Linked DNA regions of Oreochromis niloticus. The protein of the gene in region 1 binds, or shares a complex with, the protein of each later gene. Links are inferred from orthologs where the notes say so. Each region holds a gene or a part of one and is shown on either strand. Other genes may lie near its edges.

The links.
Region 2: the proteins of rnaseh2a (region 1) and rnaseh2c are in contact, whole or in part, in a crystal structure (PDB 3PUF), measured with the Homo sapiens proteins. The link is inferred for Oreochromis niloticus from reciprocal best matches to the Homo sapiens genes RNASEH2A and RNASEH2C. Residues at the interface, in NP_006388.2 of Homo sapiens: Thr11, Asn99, Ser102, Thr103, Leu106, Gly107, Arg108, Val109, Val196, Glu197, Lys198, Leu199, Glu225, Pro226, Val227, Phe228, Gly229, Phe230, Pro231, Gln232, Phe236, Leu245, Ala249, Glu250, Asp251, Val252, Ile253, Trp254, Glu255, Asp256; in NP_115569.2 of Homo sapiens: Pro33, Cys34, Glu35, Val36, Ala37, Val38, Ala42, Pro43, Val44, Gly45, Arg46, Phe47, Phe48, Pro50, Ala51, Arg53, Ser62, Phe63, Arg64, Gly65, Arg66, Cys67, Leu68, Leu134, Glu135, Thr136, Lys143, Gly146, Ala147, Thr149.

The regions. Positions count from the first base shown.
Region 1 is NC_031971.2:24,437,475-24,441,396, forward strand, and holds the start of rnaseh2a (ribonuclease H2 subunit A), read left to right. Parts: upstream 1-1,187; 5' UTR 1,188-1,343; intron 1,344-2,831; 5' UTR 2,832-2,840; coding exon 2,841-2,967; intron 2,968-3,599; coding exon 3,600-3,671; intron 3,672-3,922. UniProt on the Homo sapiens protein: Catalytic subunit of RNase HII, an endonuclease that specifically degrades the RNA of RNA:DNA hybrids. Participates in DNA replication, possibly by mediating the removal of lagging-strand Okazaki fragment RNA primers during DNA replication.
Region 2 is NC_031966.2:20,693,430-20,697,351, forward strand, and holds the start of rnaseh2c (ribonuclease H2 subunit C), read left to right. Parts: upstream 1-1,506; 5' UTR 1,507-1,584; coding exon 1,585-1,586; intron 1,587-2,270; coding exon 2,271-2,425; intron 2,426-2,893; coding exon 2,894-3,006; intron 3,007-3,100; coding exon 3,101-3,220; intron 3,221-3,728; coding exon 3,729-3,752; 3' UTR 3,753-3,922.

The DNA.
Region 1 (3,922 bases):
ATATCATAGTTTGGTCAATACCTTTAAAAAATGGCTACAGAGCTGGGAAAGCTCAATAAGAGACATTTGCATGAGACAGAAAATAAAGTAAAGGAGGCAAGAAGCAAGACATAAGACCGAAAATAAGATAAAGAGCAGATAAGAACTGGTCACAGCAGCTTAAACGGATCATATTTCATGGCTATTACAGAAACAGTAGAGCACATCCTCATCTCCTGCAGAAAAAAAGTTATGTATGTGCAAGGATTGGCTAGGGTTAAAAATAAAGCTGTACAGATTCAGTAGAGGAAAGAAACTCAATTAGTGGGTGCTTGAAAGCAACTGGCCTTACAAATACTGTGGATGGCAGTGTATTCAGTTCAGAAGGAGGAAGTAATGCAACTCTAAATGATGCCAACTGCCACGGAACTCTAAAGAACAAGAGTCTGTCGATGTTGTGCCAAAATGTGATTTCTGATGTTTCTCTGTGCTTTTAAGGTCTAATATCTTTTCTTATATTGGTAAATAGGTTGTAGTCAACAGGATATATTAATGGGCCTATATAGTAAATAATGAAATGATCTGTTTTGCAAGTGTCTTTAGGACTCTGCATCATTGTACTTGTTGTAATCAGTCAAGTCCTTTTTAGCCTCTTAACAGGTTTAGTTGCAATTTCTGATGTCCTCTAGGCCAGATCTCTCTTTAAAAAGGCATCTCTAATGTCAATGAGACCTTTGTATCTGTATAACAAACGTTCATTCTGACTCAAAGAATAGTACACTAGTTTATACAACATTTCACTATAGGGAATATTATAGGGTTACTGGCTCAGAAAGAGAAACAGCATGTTTGGTCTTTGTGCTGGAATGATGCAAGAATAAAGATTATTAGATGTCTTGATGCATTCTCAATCATCCAGGAAAGTAAATCTCCAAAAGTTGAATCTGTTCATCTGGACGTAGCGTTTTGTGGGAGAAACGTTTCGTCACTCATCCAAGTGACTTCTTCAGTCACTTGGATGAGTCAAGTCCTTGGCACTTGGATACAATTTATACAATTTATAATTTATTATTATTTAATTAATTAATGACACTTTTATTTGATTATTTAATAATGTATTTATTTAACTAATTTTGGCACTTGCGGCCCTCTATAGAAAATCAGTACGGGGGAAGAAAAGACTGAAATGATAGACTAAAAAACTGGGGGTGGCAGTAATACAACTCTAGAGAATTAGAACTGCCATCAAACACGAGAGAAGAAGAACCGATGATGACGTCAGTCCAGGGGCGCCAAATCTGCTGCACGGTACACACAGAAATACTCGTCAGGTGAAGTTTGGGCTGTTTTCATCATCTGAGCAGGTCAGCATAAACTTTGCTTGTGTTTATGACGATGTGTGCTACTTTGGCATTTTCTCCCAGCAGCCTAGACTAATGACTTAAACACAAATCTCAAGGGCGAGCTGGTTAAAACTGTCCGTTTGAGTGTCGCGTAGCATTTAGCTAACGTTTAAGCTCACAGCAGCCACACGGATAATAACAGAGCATTTCATATTTCTTCTGAAATGCACCTTTTCCGTTGATAAAATCCCCGTAAAAAATATCCGTTCTCTAAAGTTGTAAGGATCCGAAATGTGGCGATTTTCTCTATATATGCAGTAAATGTAGGAGAAAAGAAGCAATTTCTTTAAAAGTTAATTGTCATACAATCATTTAATCCAACAACGGAATAACTGTGTGTGGTTAGTCTATGTCCGATTGTAGGTCTGTGTGTGTTTCATTGTGTCTGAATGTGTATAACTTAGTGAGTCAGAGCTGGATCTCACATTTCTGTCATTTGACTTTTAGAGTACCATCGCACCCTGGGATCTTACATCTCCCTTCACAAAGTCCCTTACACACACCCACAGATTCACACAACATCATTTGCTCTCCTCTCAGGAGCTCAGTCTGGGTAGAGCTGTTATTCTCCTCCTGTAAGGTAGGTAAGAAAAACAATGTTCTGTATTTCGTTGTTTTTCTTACCCACCTTACATATCAGGTTTTTTTTTTCCTGATTTCTTGCTAAATATTGATATTAAAATATTCTTAAATATAGTGTGTAGAATTTTTTTTTCTCTTTATTTTTATTTTTTTAAACAGTAGTAGAAACCTGCCAGCCAGCTGCGACCCTTGTGGGGTACAGTCTAAATTTAATGTTGTTGGTTTCTCTTGGCTGACTAAAACTTGTTTGTCCTTCAACAGCCACCTTAGCTAGGATATCAACTTGAATAGAGAGAAGTAAGAAAACAAAATTCAGTTTACTGCAGTCTTACTAGCAGTGAGATTTTATGCACTGCAACTTTTAACCTGATCCTAAAGCGTGTGGTTTTTTTTTTTTTTTTGCACACTTTATTTAAGTTTGCACAAATGTATGGTCCCATCAGTCAATGCTGTCGAAACATTAACACCCCACTGTGTGCCCTGACACACCTGATTTAGATGCTATACAGGGCATTAAATGATGCCTCTTCTTCAGCAAAATTATTAAGTTATTAAGTGTGTCTTTGCAGTTTTTCTGAGTTGAAAGAATTCATTTAAAGAGTTTTACATTTTCTGATTCTTTTTTTCCCTTTAGTTTTCAGTATTTGTTTTCTCTTCAGTTAGGCTTCGGTTATTTTCGTAGTGGATTTGATTCTTATATTTATTTATTTGGTTTTAGTCTTTTTAATTAAAGTTTGGAGGGTATTTATCAGGGGCACCTGTTACAGAAGTTTAAAGTAAGTAAAGTAATAGATACATGCCTTACTTTGTGACTCACTAAGACAAAAATCAGCTTTAAATTTAATTTAATTTTGCATGTTCTTTCAGCCATCAATCATGGACCTCAGCCCCTTTGAAGCTGACAACTCCGTCAGCTGCCGGCTGGTTTCTGAGATCCCTGAAGTCTGCAAAACGGAGGATTGTTGTCTTGGCATTGATGAGGCTGGCAGGGGGCCTGTGCTGGGTACGTGACTTTTACTTACTCTAAGCTAACCACTCGAGGTTCTTCTATATTTGAAACACAGAGTGCAAACTATGTATGTAAAGTTATGCTGAAACATAGTGTTAAAATTGCACTTAACTAAATTAAATGTTTGCCAAATATGACAAATTGTAACCTTTAATTGAAAATTAATTAAAAAGCTTCATAACATGTTTTGAAATTTTATCCTACAACTTATTTTGAAATTTAATAATTTTGTTTACTGGTCTGGATACACAGAATGTGAAATTCTGGTCTAATACCAGTGTTAAAGAACAGTTTGTCCAGTGCTTTTTTTAATGTTTGTTTTTAATTTATTTGCTATTAATATCCCTTATTTGCTAGAAAAAGGAGAAAATTTTTAATGGTTAAAAACCATCAGATTTTCTGATCACCTCACTGTCCTTAAACATTAAGGCAGTGGAAAATTTTGACAGAAGACCTTTGGTACCTTTGGTAAATTTCATGTTATTTGTTGATAGGAGCCAACCATGTAGCTATGAGCTGATATTGATGTTTGTCATCTCCCTGTTATTTGCCATTTGGGTTTTGGGTGAATTAGTATGTACATTTAGTAGAGAAATCTAACAGTTTTGATGTTACTTGTGATGCAGGGCCAATGGTGTATGGGATATGTTTCTGTCCACTTTCCAAAAAGGAGGAGCTGAAGGACATGAAAGTAGCAGGTAAACCAGTTTGCTTGTATTGCTGTATTTAAACTGAGAAAAGCGCAGCATACTTTATGAATATAATGCTTTAAACTCATTATCACTGCTGTCCTCCCGGACAATTAAACAAAAAAAAAGAAAGAAAAGTATGAAGCTTGCTAATCATTATTTACTTTGTTTCAGTAGCTAAAAATGTCACCAGAAAATAAATGAGCATAAAAAGCCCCCCAGCGTTTTCCTTTCCACATTTGAAAATACAATTTGTCATT
Region 2 (3,922 bases), on another chromosome or scaffold:
TATGTGTTTGGTTTTTTTTACGTAGGTTGTGTCTAAAAATACAATTTAAAGTAAAGTGTTTTATGCTTGAATGATTTATATGCCAGTGTTAAGTGGATCAATAAAAAAGTAATATTCCTCTGAAAATGGTTAGGTATAAAGACTGGACTGAAAAACTTTGAAAAACCTCCAGAAAAGAACATTTGGCTCCTTGGAAGTTAAATATAAAGAAATGAGGGGTAGCTCAAGAATTTTACACAACACTGTAAATCATAAAAGAAGAAGGGAGTTAAAACTTTCTCTTCATGTGAATCCTGATAAAGTATTCAAGAAAAAAAAGGATCCCATGCAACATGCCTGCAACAGTTATCTGTCCTGCTATAAAAACTCACCTCTTGCTTGTGCTGGCTAATTGTGAGCTGTTAGGAAACGTCTTCTTCTTTCCCTGAAGTCTCCTCAGTGGAGGCTTGACACAGATTTTATGCAATATGAGCAAAACTCCCCCAGGAAACTTCTCCTTAGTGGCTCTCGGGCTCACATTGGACAGGATTTAGTCCATCCCACACTAAGACAGATGCTGCTGCCAACTGTAGCAGAGTTCTCAGAACTGAACAAGACTGCAGTAACACTGCGACATACGTCATCAAAATACTCAGAATGTACGAGACATTCCAAAGTGTCCTATGACATGTGAGATTATTTAGTGATGCTGCTTGAAATAATGCCTACAAACTCACATATTTGTCCATATTCAGTGTTCGAATCCATAGTGTAACAAATGCTAACTCATTATCTAATCCGCTCCATGAGGTCTAATATTCTGAACTGTGTATTAGTTTTATGTCCAGCAGAAACTGATAATCATATCAAACTGTTTGCTGAACTGATCATTTATTGTTGATCTATTTTGTTTCGTTGTCGTCCCCAGGGGTTTTTTGTTTCAGTTTTGTGTTATCTTGTGTTCTGCTTCATGTCTTTTTAATAGCATTATTACTGGTAGTGATAATAGTCTCCCCAGTGTTTCTATTTGTATCACCCTCTGTGTATTTTCTGTTTTAATGCCTTGGTCCCCCTTTTGTTCCTTTGCCTCTGATATTCAGTTAAGTGTTAGTATTCATGTTTCTAACAGACTCTGTATCACTCTCATGCTCACACTCCTGTCTTCCTCTTTATCTGTTAGTCCATTTCAAGACTGTTTTGTGTTGTCTTGTCTTTGTCTCTTATTTTAACATATATATATATCTCTATCTATCTATCTATCTATCTATCTATCTATCTATTAAAATAATAATTAAATGAAACATTGAGATCTCTTATCAAAGTATCTCATGTCTAGAGGTGTGAGTGTGATCGCAGTTCAAGGGTGTTATTGTAAACACAAAAGCTACAAGCCGTAGAAAATCGTTGTGATCGAGCTTCACCGGGAGGAGGCGCTATTCTGGGGCTGAGCAGAAAAAACCCGCCAAAATAACTTCTAGCGTAGAAGAAGAAGGTTTTGCCCAATCAGAAGCTGTGTTTGCTGTTTACCGGAAAAGATCCCGTTTAACGTTTCACGTTTGGAAAACTGCAGAAACGTAAGGGTATAGATATATGTCTTTCAAATAAATGTAAGACTTTTATAGCATGTTGTATGGTCTTTAATAGGAATTAATTTTTTTTCTCTGGGATTCTTTGGAAAACATGCATGTGCTCACTTTGAGTATGTCGTATTCTGTGTATGAACAATGGAGATCAACAAATAAGTATTATCACCAAAAGCCAGAAAAAAAAAAATTGTTTTAAAATAAGTATTACTTTTGGCTGCTCTCAGATACTCAGGCAGACTGAAAGCTGGTCACCAAAAGGTTTCATCCTGTGCTGTGACGCATGGATTACATAGCTGAAGGTCTGACAGACAGTTATGGTTGACTGGTAGTCAGACAGGTAGGCTGGCAGAACAACACAAAAAGCTGTAAACAGGTGGAGTAACATTAAAGTCACCATGAGTTCTGAATCAATTGCAGATGATTCATTGTTTGTTTTATTTTTGAGTACACTGGTGTGCTAAACATAAGAGCTCAAAAAAAGCTATTATTGTGAACCTATAGTGACATCTGCAGTTGAAAAATTATTTTAATTGCAGAAAAACATTCAGATTAAAGGCTGAACTTTGTGGCTCAGTTTGTCACACATACAATTTGTTTTCCTTTTTTTTTTTAGTCTGGTAAACAAACTGCCTTTGATAAAAGAGACTGAGGTTAAATTAAAAACTAAAAATGTACTTTCTTTTTTCTCCTGTCTCCTGGCTGCAGGATGTCCTGTAATTCCAGTGTTATTCGTCTTTGTGCATCATCAGTGGGACAGGCACCGCAAGCTCCAGTCCACCTCATGCCATGTGAGATTGAACACAATGGGCCAGCACAGGTCAACCAATACTTCACTGCTACCACCAAAGACCAGAAACAAGGTAAACACAAAATCTTTTCATATCTGATAATATGGATTAATCCACAGCGGTTAGATAAAATGTAGACATATAAGATCGCTAAATGTGTAAATAAAGCAAACAGCTGCCAGTATCCTGGTTTTAAACTATTTTTCGCTGTTTCTGATATGATTAATTCGTTTTGGGGGTAAAAGTGGAATGGATTTTAATAATTCTCAGGAATTTTTAGTTAAAATGAGTTGCTGTTTAACACTTAAGTAAGTAATGAAAGTTTAGTTTTATAGTAAAAAAAGTGAGAACCAATTAAACAATTCAAAAACTTTAAAAGTGGGATGGTATGCGAACACTTATGAGAGTTAAAGCCTTACAGGATCATTTTAGACAGACTGGAGGCGATCAGTAGGTGCTTTAGGAAAGAAAATTACGCATTACACAGCACACATCAAGAATCCTCAATGCTTTGTTTTGTTTTTTCCTTTCACATTGCAGATAAGTCGGTGTCATTCAGGGGACGTGGGTTAAAGGGGCAGAAGATCAGCTGTCCACAGGGCTACACGGGGCTGGTGCTGAAAGAGATCAACAAACCCGGCTCAGACCAGGAGGTAAACACCACTGGAGTTGTGGGTCAAAGCACTATTTCATAAAATCAGATGTGTAGATGAGGGTTTTGTAACTTGTGTTTATGTGTGTTTTCAGGACAGGACAGTGAAAGTATCCTCTGTATTTGACAAAATGACCTACTGGAACCTGGAAACACCTCCTAATTCAGACGATACTATTGTGATGGCAATGGATTGGCCTGATTTGGCTGAGGCAGTGAGTTGTTTTTTTTCCCTCTTGGATCCATTAATCCAAGACCAAACCAATCTTTGTCTCCTAGTAATTAATATTTATCACATTTAACATAAATAATTTGCATTTTTTTTGGTGAAATATGACCCAAACAAGCTTGAGATACCCTTGGCTGTATTTTGGAGCAGGGTCATATACCATTCAGTCACCTTTAATCACATCCTACAAGAAATTAAGCATGTCGTGCTAGTTGTTGCTTGAAGCTGCTATTCTGAGTTAATTACCAGTTATTTCCTGGATCTATATTACATTTCCTTCTGTGGCAATTCAGAACATGTTCACCGGGTTTCATGAAAATCAATCTGGATGTTTTCTTGTAAACTCAAATTACACTGCACTGAAAACCTCAGTTGAGGCTCATTCTCTTTGGTGGAGGAACCGTGTTTAATTCAACTGATGAAAATACAAAAGACACAGACAGAAATGTTTTCAGATATTTGCAGGTTTGTCCTGATATTTTGTCTCTTCACAGATCCATGCTCCAGTAGAAGACTGAAGAGGCTGCCTGATGTCTCCTCAGCATTTTACATATGAAATGTGCTGCTTGTTGGTTATTCATGATAACTGATGGGAAGGCTTAAGAAGTATTTTCAGTAAGTGTTTCTGTTCCAGAGCAATAAGTTACACAACCTTTGTATATATCTTTAATGACGTTTTTTTTTGTAG